2 linked regions of the Caenorhabditis elegans genome follow. The protein of the gene in region 1 interacts with the protein of each later gene in a pairwise test. Each region holds a gene or a part of one and is shown on either strand. Other genes may lie near its edges.

Region 1 (8,087 bases):
ATTTGAAACAGTTTTCGGTTTCGAAAACCCGTTTTCAAAAAAAATCGAAGTTTTTAATTATTGAAATCCATTTTTTTTTCAAATTGCCAAAAATGTCAAATTTGGAGCAGTTTTCGCAAATTTTAACCTAAAAATTCACCCTTAAACCATTTTCTACCCCGGAAACCATTTTTCACAAAAATTCAGAATATGCACCCTTAGCCTAGTGGATAGTGGAGATGGCGTGGAATCACAAGACCGGGGTTCAACCCCCGGCACGGCTAAATTTTTTGTTTTGTTGAAACTTGAAATTGAAAACAGTTTTCGGTTTGGAACACTCGTTTTCACAAAAAAATCGAAGTTTTTAATTAAAAAATTTTTTTTTTAATTTCGAAAAAGTTTTTTTTTGTTGCAATTTTTCAGAAAATTTACGCTTATAGCTCAGTTGCTCTCCAGTTTCCCTTATTTCCACCCAAACTCACCTATAAAAATTGTGCATCGGGTAAAAGTCCTTGCCGCTGACCGAAAATAGGCATTGGCCCTTTTTGATGGCCTTTTCCACGTGGTCCAAGTTGTCGTACACCTGATTTTGGTCTTCGGATGCTTGAGAGCAGCTAGCCGTCATGATTCCTAAAAAATTTTTAAATGTCGCATTTTTAGGGTTGAAAACAGGGTGAAAAACTAGAGAAGTTGGCATTTTTTGAGAAAAAACAAGGTTTTCGGCGATTTTTCGAGTTTTTTAATTAAAAATTTAGCCTAAAACATCATTTTTCACTCCTGAAACCATTTTTTTTTCAATTTTGAAATTTTGCACCTGTGGCGCAGTGGGTAACATGGATGGCTGCCAATCAGACGACCAGGGTTCGACCCCCCGCTTGGTCGAATATTTTTGTTAGAGCCAAATGTTATTTTTCGCACTACTTATTCAAGTTAAAGCTGATTTTGAGTCATTTTCTATAGGATTTTGTGAACAAAAAAATTTTTAAGGAATTTTTTGACGGTTTAGAGTGATTTTTGCAAAATTTTAATAAAAAATTCACTTTAAAATCGTATTTTCCACACAGGAAACCATTTTTCAACAATTTTTAGAATTAACACCCGTGGCCTAGTGGATAGTGGGGACGGTTGGTAATCACGCGACCGGGGTTCGACCCCCGCTGGGCCAGAAAGTTTTTATTTAGTTTTTTTGTTAGTTATGTGTGTTCTTTTAACATCAAATGCTAAAAATGAAGCTACACAAATTATAGGCAAAAATTATAGGAAAACGGTTTTTTTTTCAAAATTTCATTAAAAAAAAAAACTAAGTTTTCACACTAAAATCAATATTTTAAATTTTTGGAATTTATGCCAATAATTTGAAAAATTATTTATTTTCAAAAATTTCTTCCAATCAACACACCGGGGTTCGATCCCCACTGTGGTCGAAATATTTTTACCAATATTTTTTTCAAAATTTTTTTTTTCAGTTTTTCAACTTTTAATTTTTTTTTTCTTCTTACCTCCAAATCTATTCCGAAACACTCGATTCTCCGCCAACACCAGCTCCTCTTTAGACGAGACCTCAATGCCCGCAGATCGATTCCCATGAATTCGATTTCCACGGAGACTCGGCGCCGAGTCAGAGAGCACCAGGACGCCCGCTTGAGCATTATCAAATATTTCATTGTGCTCAATGAGCCCTTTTCCTCCGTCGGTAACAGAAATTCCGGTGCCACGAGATCCGAAAATCTTATTCCTCCGGATAACCGGTGTGGCCATAGTTTTTATGAAAACATTGGTCATTGAGTTGTCGAAAATTGTATTTTCCTCAAAACATCCCATGCCGGCTTCATGTACCAGTACTCCGTTGTCATTATTCCAGATTCGGTTTTTTATGACACGTGGGTTGGCGCCAGTGCGGATTTGGACGCCTGTTAGGGTATTTCCGTTGATTTCGTTGGATTCTAGGACACCGGAGCCTCCATCGTAGAAGTAGACACCGGCCTGGAATAGTTAAAGTTAAAAATCTTTTTTTTTTTTTTTGGTTTTTTGAAAAAATTTTCAGCGATTGTTCGATTTTTGAAAGGTTCTATGTAATTTTTGCAAATTTTAACTAAAAAATTCACCTTGAAACCTCAATTTCTACCCCGGAAACCATTTTTCAACAAAATTCAAAATATGCACCCGTAGCCTAGTGGATAGTGGAGATGGCTTGGAATCACAAGACAGGGGTTCGACCCCCGACAAGGCAAAATTTTTTGTTTAGCTGAATTTTTAATTTAATAGTAGTTTTAACGTTGAAACGACAATTTTCACAAAAAATCGAAGCTTTTAATTTTTAAGATCAATTTTTCTTTAATTTGCTAAAAATTTCAAATTTGGAGTAAATTTTGCAAATTTTAACTAAGAAATTCACCCTAAAACCTCAATTTCTACCCCAGAAATTATTTTTCAGCGAATTTAAAAATTTGCACCCATGGCCTAGTGGTAGTGAGTCGGGCTAGTAATCAAAACACCGTGGTTCGACCCCCGGTACCGCGAACTTTTTTTGTTTTGTTTAAACTTGAATTTGGGGACGGTTTTAGGTTTGAAAAATCCGTTTTAACAAAAAAATCGAAGTTTTTAATTTTTAAGATAATTTTTTCTTCAAATTGCCAAAATTTCAAATTTAGAGTAAATTTTGCAAATTTTAACTTAAAAATTCACCTCAAAACCTATAAATCTAGCCCGGAAACAGCGAAATTCAAAATTTGCTCCCGTGGCCTAGTGGATAGTGAGTTGGGCTGGTAATAACAAGACCGGGGTTCGACCCCCACAGCGGTGAAAATTTTTTTATTTTGCGTGGGGAGTTGTTTGGAACAGTTCAGTTTGGTTCGATTCCCCAACGTGGTTGAAATTTTTTTGTTGAAAATTTTGGAAAAAAAATTTTTTTGAATTTTTTTTTTCGAAAAAAAAAATCTAAAAATGACTCACCTGTTTCCCAGAATGAACATGATTATTCCTAATCCATGGCTCGGCTCCAGTATCGACAAAAATGCCGGCCAACTCGTTCCCATACACCTTATTCTCCTCGATGAGCCCTTTTCCATACCGATGCACAAAAATTCCGCCGTGTTTCCCGTCGAAAATCTCATTTTTCCGAACAATCGGATTCGCACCTTCTGATATCCAAATCGCGAGGAATTCGTTGTGATGGAGCCGGTTTTTCAGAAATTGGCCGGTGGCGTCCTCGTGGATGCATATGCCGCCTGACATCCCGTGATGAATCTCGCATTCGGTTACTGTGGGGTTGGCCTGAGCACTTTTGAGCTCTATCGCAAATTTTTGGTTTGCGTAGATTTGACAGTTTTGGAAATGGCCCAGGCCATCGCTGAAATAATTTTTATTTATTTTTTTTTTTTGAAAAATTTTGGGTCCTGACACAAAAAGAGTTTTGAAGTATTTTTTTTACTAATATTTTTGAAATTTGGACGTTTTGACGCACATTTTGAGCCAAAGATCAGTGGAAAATCTTGAGAATTGACAAAGTTACAGAGGTTTGAACTTTTCGAGTTTTCAAAAAAAATTTACTTCGGCTCCCGTCACGAAAACTCTGGGGTTTGGCGTATTTAATCATTTCTGCTATTTTCTGTTGCATTTTTGATCAATTATTTTCACATATTTTGGATCAAAATGGGTTCAAAATCTTTAAAACTGAGAACGTTATGGATATTTGAAATTTGAAAATTTTTCGAAAATGTTTTTTTTTTTTTTTTGAGATTTTAATTTTTTTTTTCATTTTTCGCGCAAAAACATATATGTGAAGCAAATTTCTGACACTAACACAACTTTTATACAAAATTTCTGCACATTTTAAAACAAAAATGGCTCAAAACTCTTTAAAACTGGCAAAGTTATGAAAGTTTGAAATTTAAAAAAAATTTCGAAAAAAAAATATTTTTTTGGAAAAGATTCAAAATACAGCCAATTTGAAGATAATCAAATTTGGAACATTTTTCCATTAAAAAATTTTTTAGTTTTCATTCCCCGCAGAGAAACAGCAATTTTAAGGATGAGGAAAAGACGCAGACGACGAGAGTACTCTCGTCGTCTCGCACCCTCTCCCTCCCCCCTCGTTCTCTGCACTTCTGCGACGCCTTAATTTTAAAGGCGCATAACTCAGCGGAGATGAGATTAAGAAAAAAGTTTTCAACTAACAAAATATGTAAAATTTCAAGCTCTACAACTTCTCAGTTGAAAACTTTCTGCTAGCTCTTTTAGTTTTCAAGATATTTCAACTTTTCAAAGACTCACTCCAAAATGAAGATTCCCACATCACCCTGATGATGGACATGACAGTTATAGAAATATGGATTCGCCTGGAATTGCACACGTATTCCGGACTGCAAATTTTGCGCAAACTCGCAGTTATCATAGTAGCCGCCAGCGTGGTGTGTGATAATGATCCCGCCGCCCGAGCCTCCGATGCAAGTGCAGTTTCTCATCTGAAAATTTGGGAATTTGGAGCTCCGCTGGAAATAGCTGAAAAGCCACGGACTACACTTTCTAAATGATCATACTATCAAAAAATACCTGGAAATTTTTTGGGTAAAGTTTCAATAATTTTGGGAGCTTAGCTTTTGAGAAACATGAGTTTTCATGGGAAATTTTCGATTTTCAACTGAAATTTTCGATATTTATTTGAAATTTTAGAAGTGTGGTGGTAATTTTTAGGGTGAATTTTTTATTTATCTTGTTGAAATTTAGGTTAAAAACCAGCCTGGTAACTTTTTGGAAATTTTTGAAAAAACATTTTTTTTCAATTTTTTTCAATTTTAAGTTATAAAAATTTTGTGAAAAACTTACCTTCGGTGCAGCGTGATCCTTGACAACTACAGTATGACTGTCAGCATTACCAGACTGAAAATTGCAGTGCTCAATGATGGGCTCCACGTGCAGCCCGGTAACTATCATGGCGCAATTCGTAGTGGGATCCGTGTGGGCTTCCAGCAACTTTTCAGGTTCCAGGGCTTCCTCGGGCTCTCCAGGCTCTCCAGGAGCTCCAGGAGCTCCGCCGGGCTCCCCCACAGGCACCTCTTCACCAGCTCTGGGAGCATCCACCTCCATATCCTGAGCCACGTGAGCCTCGTGCTCCGTGTCCACCTCATACTTCACAGTCACATAGCCCATGTAGGCGCTGCTCTGGAATTCCAGTACAGTCGCGTGGCGTCCGGTGAGTACCACGGACGTGGCAATGTCTTCGGAGCCCGAGGCGCCGAGGATCTGAACGTCGGAGGTGATTCGGATGGTGTGCGTGACTTCATGGGTGCCTTCGTGCAGGAAGATCAGCTTTTCGTGGTGACCACCCTCGTCGTTTTCGTCGAGGAATCTGGAAATTTTTGGGATTAAGCCTGAACCTAAGCCAACGCTTAAGCCTAAGCCTAAGCCTAAGCCTAAGCCTAAGCCTAAGCCAAAGCCAAAGCCTAAGCCTAAGCCTGAGCATAAGCCTAAGCCGAAGGATCAGCATAAGCCTAAGCCTAAGCTTAAACCCACGCCTGAGTTTACGCCTAGGCCTAAGAATCAGCCTAAGCCTGAGCTTAAGCTTAAGCCTAAGCCTAAGCCGAACTCTAAGCTTAAGCATCGGCCTAAGCCCAAGCCTAAGTCCAAGTTCACACCTCAAGGCCTCCTCAATATGATCGAAACATTGAATATCGGCGGCTCCCACAAATTGCTCCAAATTTTTCATGACATGAACGCCGCGGCTCAACTGCTCGTAGGCCTCCTTCCACGGATTGAACTCTTCGTCTGAAATTAACTGTTTTTTTTTGCAGAAAACCTACATTAACCCCCCGGTCTACAGTAGCCCTATTAATTTTTAAATATCAGCATTTTGTTAGTCTTGTTGTTAGCTTTCAAATGACCCCCATCATGCCCGGGTTCCGAGCAGTTTTGGAAATTTGGGTCTCGCCACGCGGGGTACTGTAGCATCAGTTTCAGCTGTGTCGAAACTCAAAATCGTTGGAGCATAGGCATGATGGGTGTCATTTGAAAGCTCTCAGCGAGAGAAATCGAATGGCAATAATTTCAAGGTGACTGGGTTACTGTAGCGCGGGTTACGTAGCTTTTTCCAGTTCTCACCTGTAAACTTTTGCTTCGGCGCGGGTTGAAACTGAAAAACGGCATGTTCGGGGTGAAAAAGCGGCAGGCGATAGCCGAAGGTCTCCTGGTAAAGTACACGCCATTCTTCTTCCTCCTCGCCGGACATCTGCAAGCATGTAGGCTAGGCGGTGGGGAGAGGGGGCAGAGACGCAGACGGTGTAAGACACCTGTGAAGGTCGGCTGAGGGGGGGGGGGGGGTCTGGAGGCTATTGTTGTTATTGTTATGGTATTAGTAGAGGTCACACATAAAATTTTGGGGTAAAGTTGAGAAAATTTGGAAATTTCCGAGAAATTGGGAGTTGTCAAAAAAACGTTTTTAGGAAAAAGTTCAAAAATTCAAAAATTTCACAACTTTTTCAATTTTTGAGATATTTTTATCATTTTTTGGGAAAAATGATTGTGAAATTCTGAATTTTCCTACAAAATAACTCAAAATGACCGTAACAGAGAAATTTCAGTTTGCCAAGCGTTTTCGTGGCGGGACCTTGAAAATTTAGTTGCTGAAAAAACTGAAATTTTAAAAATTTCATAACTTTTTCCATTTTTGAGATATTTCTATAATTTTTAATGTTAAATAACAGTAGAAACTTGAATTTTAAGTTACAATTATTGTAAAATGTCTTACTCTGAAAATCTTGAATTGCTGAGAGTTTTCGTGGTGGGACCTAAAAATTGTAAAAATATTTTTTGGCAAAAATTTCAGATATTCAAAGTTTTCTAACTTTTTAATAAATTAAGATATTTCTACGATTTTTAATGCAAAATGACCGCAAAAATATGAATTTTCATGGAAAATTAATTAAAACTTTTTAATCAGAAGTTTTCGTGATGGCACCTTAACTTAAAATTTCAAAAAAAAAATTGAAAATTTTGGAATTTTCAAAACCTCACAACTTTCTCAATTTTGGAGCTATTTGCTTCATTTTTAGATTAAAATAAGCCCCGGAAATTCAATTTTCAGGTTCAAATAAACAACTTTAGCAAAATTCATAAATGACAGCACGCCACGAGTTTGCGTGGCAGGACCCAGAAAACTCGTGCCACGTGACGGATTTATGCAAAAATCCTTGGAAATCGGAGAGAGGGACAAAGAGAGACAGAGAGAGAGGAGGAAAAGATGACGGTACGGGGAGATATTGTATGCGGGAAATAGGTCACACTTCTTCTATATCTCTCCTCACTCTTCCACTTTTCCGTAACGAGGCCGCCGCCCGGCCAGCCGCGCGTACTAGCCTAGTACCGTCCCCTCCGGCCCACCCTGCGTCTCAGCATTGCGCAATATGTTGATTCACACCTGTTTGGATGGGGAGAGAAAGTTTTAAGGATCATTTTGAGCTAAAATTGACAAGAATTACGGAAAAATTGAAAAAGTTAGGATGGTTTGAAATTTTCAAAAAAAAAATTTTGAGGACCCCCACGGAAACTCTCGGTGGAATGATATTTTGCGAAATTTTAAAAGATTTTTTAAATTAACCTGTTAGTCTAAGTAACTGAACTATTTATAAGCTAAAAATTAACAGAATATCTCAAAAACTGAAAAAGTTATGAAGTTTTGAACTTTTTTAAAATTTGCCAAAAAAAAATTCAAAATCCTTCCACGAAAACTTATGACAGCCACAAATTTTGCAGCTTTCTTAGATAACGTACAATTTTTTGAAAAATATAAATTTTTAGCTTGTTTTAAATTAAAATTTGGTATATAAATCTTTAAAACTAAAAAAGTTAGGGGGTTTTGAAATTTTCCGAAAAAAATAAATTTAACTAAAAAAAATTTCGAGGACCCCCCACGGAAACTCTTGGTAGACTGATATTTTTCAAACTTTTAAGGATTTTTAAACTAAACTACTACTCCAAGCTTTGGAGCTTATTTTGTGCTAAAATTTGGCAAAGTGCCACAAAAACTGAAAAAGTTAGAAGGATTTGAAAAAAAACAAAAAATTTTCCAAAATTCCAAAAAAAAATTTTAAGGGCTTACAGGAAATCTCTTGGAA
Region 2 (4,881 bases), on another chromosome or scaffold:
GTAATATTTAACCTCAAAAAACTTACCCGAAGTAATTCTTGAAGCTCAGCAATTTTCTTCTCAATTTCGTCTTTAGTCAACTTTGATGACATCATTCTAAAGAAATTAATTCAATCCCCAACAGAAGGCAACAGATTTTTTAAAGTTAAATTTCTCAAAAAGGACATCTGAAAAGTTGTTTCAAATTAGTCTTAATAAGAAGCGTGCAGCTAATGCTTTTCAAAAAAATTTATAATACAGTTGCATTAAAATTTGGATTTGTCTGAAAGTATTCGAAACAAAATTGTTTTATACAAGTTATCACTTAGGACAAATAAAATGCTTTTTTTTTATTCTAAAATTGGAAATACTGAGCACTCAAATTCAAATTCATTCATTGCATTAAACGTTTCAAAACGGAAAATACATTACTATGAAATACTTAAAGCAATCGATGAACTACGGGAGACGTTGTGCGAGAAGCGGATGTACGCAGAGACATAGAGAACAAAAGAATGCACATGCACATCTGCTCACTTAGCAGTCATGAAGCAAATCCGCCGGCACTACACTGATGTAATTAAACCGGCAAATTAAAAATTTAATTTACTGAAAATGAGAATTCGATATACACACACGAAAAAATGTTAAAAATGTTCTTCATTTTCATATTCCGGCGGTGGAGCACTTGCCTGAGAATCTTCTACAATTTGACTGAAGTTTTCATATTTAGGAGGAGCTTCCGTAATAGAATAGGCAATTGGTCTTGTGAATACTCCAATGGGAATTGTTCCAACAGTAATCGGAAGTTCACATCTCAATTTCTTATTCTCTCCGATATCCACAATAATACAATAGTCTACTTCAATAATTCCTGTTCGAAAACTAGGAACCAACTGATTCGGCAGAACAAGTGGCACATTTATTTGGCTATTTGAGCAAAATTCCACGTGACAACTCTTCTCAACTTTCGACATTGTGGTTTGAGCAGTTTTATGCTCACAATGTTTATGACAATGTTCTTCTGGAAATAGATGAGAATTCTCTTGTTGAGCCTGATAATGCACGTGCTGCTCCAATTTTGCTTTTATAGAATATATAGGCTTCTTCGTGTGATTTTGAATTAGAGCAGATACTTGGATGGTCTCTCCTGGGATGTATCCGGATTTTGGGATGGAGATCTGTAAATATTAATTTGTTAATTGAGTCATTATTTGTTATTAGCATGAAATAAAAAAAATTATGTTACCTTAACTTTAACCTCTTTGTTAGAAAATAATCCAGAATGCTTGCAAGAAGATACGATCATTGGATTGATTGTTTTTGGAATGGAGTTTAAATCGATAACCGGAATCACTGAAATATTCGAAATTAAATTTTAAATGTGATTTGCTTTTATAGATAAATTGCTAATGATTTCAAGCTTCAGTTTAGCCCAGACGGGGTTAAAATCAGGGCTCAGCGGCAAACGATTTTTCCGGCAAAATTAGCGAATTGGCAATTACCGAAATTGAAAATTTCCGGCAAATATAGCAAATTGACAATTTGCCCAATTTGCCGGAAAATCTGTATTTGCCGATAGTTGTGAGTTTTTCTGGAACTTTCAGAATTTCAGTTTTAAACGAAAAAATTGTACACATCCGATGAATAGCCTTACATCTATTTTTAAAAGTCAGTGAATTCTATGAGAATATCGTTAAAAAACGGGGGAAAATTTCAAAAAGGCACAGTTTCAAGTTTCCGTCTTCTCCGGCAAATTGTTATCCGGCAAACGGCAGATCGGCAATTGGCCGAAATTTAAAATTTCCGGCAAAAAAAGACAATTTGCGGATTTGCGAGATATTATATTTTGACACAAAAAATATTCACATTAAATCATGATTTCTTTTCTTTTTCAGGTCGTATCAAAATCGTTTCCAACTCACCAGAAAACACCCTCTTCGCTTCAACATTCATCCTCCATGGCCTATCTAATTCCACGTGTACCGAATATCGAACATTTCCATGCGTCCCTTCAAAACTCGGTGGTAGATTTGCAGGAAGTTGGAAGAGAAACGGAAATATGTTCACACCGCCAGGGATTTTATTGTTCTAAATGTGGTGTGTAAATATTAAAGTGTATTCAAATTTACTAACCGCGTTTTCAATGGAACTCCATGGCTGGGCGATTCCTTCCAAGACGTTTATCTTGCTAGTATAGTTGATATGTTCAGAGCTACGATACCATCGACCATGTCGGTCACTGAAAAGAAATATGGTGGTTAAAATCAGGGGAGCGCGGCAAATTTCAAAAAACTGGTTCAGCCGAATTCGCCGCGCTCGGCAAATTTTGAAATTTGCCGCACACATCACAAATAGGCTTTTTTTTCAAATTTGGCCAAAACTGTTGATTTTGTTCAAAAAATTATAGTAAAATAACATGAAGTTGAGTTCAAAGTTGTGCTAAAAATTCAGTAGTTTTGGCGCTTCTAGAAATATCAAAATGTTCTCATTTTTCGGAGTTTGCCCAGCACGGCAAGATTGCCCAATTTGCCCAATTAGCCAAGCTCGGCAAATTTTGAATGTACCTTTAAATAGTGGATAATCTGATTACTGTTTTGGAAAGGAGAGAGATGAATATCTGGCGGAAGTATTTAAATTTTGTATGTACCATAAAACGAGCGGCAATAATAATTTCATATATTTTTTAACGAAGCTTCTATTGGCGATTTTAGTTGTATTTTCATGTCATCAGAACTTATAAATTAGTAAGTAATCTTCCTCTACGTCACTTTCATTTCAGAACCTTACATATTGGCTCACTTCAAATGCCTAACCCCAAATTGAGAAATTCAGATTTTTCTGGAAAAACAACTCTGGCCGAAAACTTGAATTTTCTGAGAAATTTTTTTACTGAAACTCGTTTTTCTTGACTATTTTTTGAAATTTTAAATAGTCCCCAAAACTCACTATCTCCCTTTATTCTCAAATTTCCTCCACAACGTTTCAATATCTCCATGGATGCAAATTTTCAGAGCCAGTGCATTTAAAGCATTTCGATTTCTGATTGTTAGCTTCCCTGCTACATTCTGTCCAGGGGAGTATACAGCGGCAGGATGGTCGAATTCAATGAGAAATGTGGTGTCTCCCATTTTTTGTAAGTCTGACATGAAATTATACTATATTACAGCTTTACATCCAATATTTTTCTTTACAATTAGTTGATATAAATAAGTTCCGAATAAAAACTAGAAAAAAAATCTTAAAAAAGAAACAACTCAGTTCATTCCATTCTCTTATCAACTAATAACTTTTATTTATAAAACATGCACCATGTTTACGTCATGTTTTCTTGCCGGAAAATTGATAAAGTCTGAAAACGTGCAAAAACGTCATAGACAACGTACTTCATTGGTCTTTTTTTTCTTTTCAGTGCAAACTTTGAGCATGAATCAGAACAATATACTATTTATGGGTTATTTGTGTATTTATACTTTATGCGATGACGTGGTTCTTCACAAGTTTTTAATGTTAACATGGTTATTAAATATAAATCGGTGTGCTTTTTTTAAAAATTCGCTATGAATTGGAATTTATCGATTATATATTATTAAAGTTATTAAAGATAGTGTATTGTTAACGGGGTTTTGATTTAAGATACCCTGAAAAATCTAATTTTGGCTAAAATTTTGATATTCCATTTTTATTTTGAATTCGCTCCAAATTCAGAAGGCAAAATATATTTTAAAAAACTAACCAAAAAATTTACAGTCAATAGTTTTTTTGTTTAAATTGCTTTGGTTATGTTCGTGCAAAAAAAAAGTGTCCTGACTATAAAAATAGCAAATTTTCCGTACTTTCAAATGAATGTATGACCGTCTTTGTAGCTACGAAATTCATTTCAAAAAACCCGAAAAATGTTTTTTTTCAATTCCACCACCATAAAAAAAAGTTTGGAAATTATATTAGGTTCGCTATGTTTAATTGTGAGTAGAAAAAAAGTTTCCTGACTTGAAATATAGCAAATTTTTTTCTCTTTGAGAAAAATGATTTGTCGCGTTTAAACGCGACAAAACATAGTTCATAGTTGGCCAAAATGTTTTTTTGTAAGCTTAATAAATTCCTCTAATTATTTGAAACAGTTCCTACAAAACCGTTTTCATTTATTTTATATTTTAGAGCAAAAAAGTACGGCATATAACTTCTAGCTGGAGATTTAGGAGAAATTCAAATAGGAATTTTAGGAAAAAATTAAAAGCCTCCTTCCTCAAATTTTTTTTCAAATTTTTAGTTATTTTTGTTACTCAATTTCAACTCTAACTTCAAGATATTCTTCAAAATATGAGTTTTAAATTTTTATTTAGTTCTGGATTTTTTATGATTTTTTTTTCATTTTTCAAAGAAGAAAATGTATTGCATTCTAAATATTTTTACAGGAAAATTGAAAATTTTTCGCCGATTGCCATGTTACGTATTGGATTTTTTGTCGTTTTTTTCCAATTAAAAAAAAATAATTTTAGAGAAAAAAAAAACGAAAAATCAAAAGAGAATCAACTATGTGTAATTTTTTGACAAACTTTGCAAAAGTTTAGAAAAATTCTATAATTATTTTAACAATCTTAATTATAATAATAAATCATATTAATAATAATAAATTTTAACAATTTAACGGTCAATTTTTTAAATTTTAGAACAAAATTCCCCGAATCCGTTGATAAATTTCTTAAAATAAATTGAAAAATTAAATTCCTACATTTTGATCTATTCCATCCCATTTTACTACTTGTTTTTATGATTTTGGTCTCTAACACATTAAATACCATCCCAACATACAATATTTGTTCTTCCCCCCTCCTAGGTCTCTCAAAACAAATACTATCTAGGTGTCCAAAATGCATGCACATTTTGGAAAATTTCGCAAAC

Evidence for each region.
Region 2: the proteins of fbxo-11.2 (region 1) and arrd-8 interact in a two-hybrid assay, tested with the Caenorhabditis elegans proteins (one large-scale study listed by BioGRID).

What each region holds. Positions count from the first base shown.
Region 1 is NC_003281.10:1,047,041-1,055,127, forward strand, and holds the start of fbxo-11.2 (UBR-type domain-containing protein), read right to left. Parts: upstream 6,203-8,087; coding exon 6,076-6,202; intron 5,743-6,075; coding exon 5,613-5,742; intron 5,549-5,612; exon of another isoform or gene 5,344-5,548; intron 5,327-5,343; coding exon 4,804-5,326; intron 4,443-4,803; coding exon 4,252-4,442; intron 3,329-4,251; coding exon 2,932-3,328; intron 1,963-2,931; coding exon 1,479-1,962; intron 862-1,478; exon of another isoform or gene 790-861; intron 610-789; coding exon 462-609; intron 1-461.
Region 2 is NC_003280.10:12,063,314-12,068,194, reverse strand, and holds arrd-8 (Arrestin C-terminal-like domain-containing protein), read right to left. Parts: upstream 3,111-4,881; coding exon 2,929-3,110; intron 2,222-2,928; coding exon 2,116-2,221; intron 2,071-2,115; coding exon 1,905-2,070; intron 1,336-1,904; coding exon 1,229-1,335; intron 1,161-1,228; coding exon 627-1,160; 3' UTR 557-626; downstream 1-556. Other genes in the region: Y17G7B.22 (C2H2-type domain-containing protein), read right to left, coding at 27-92.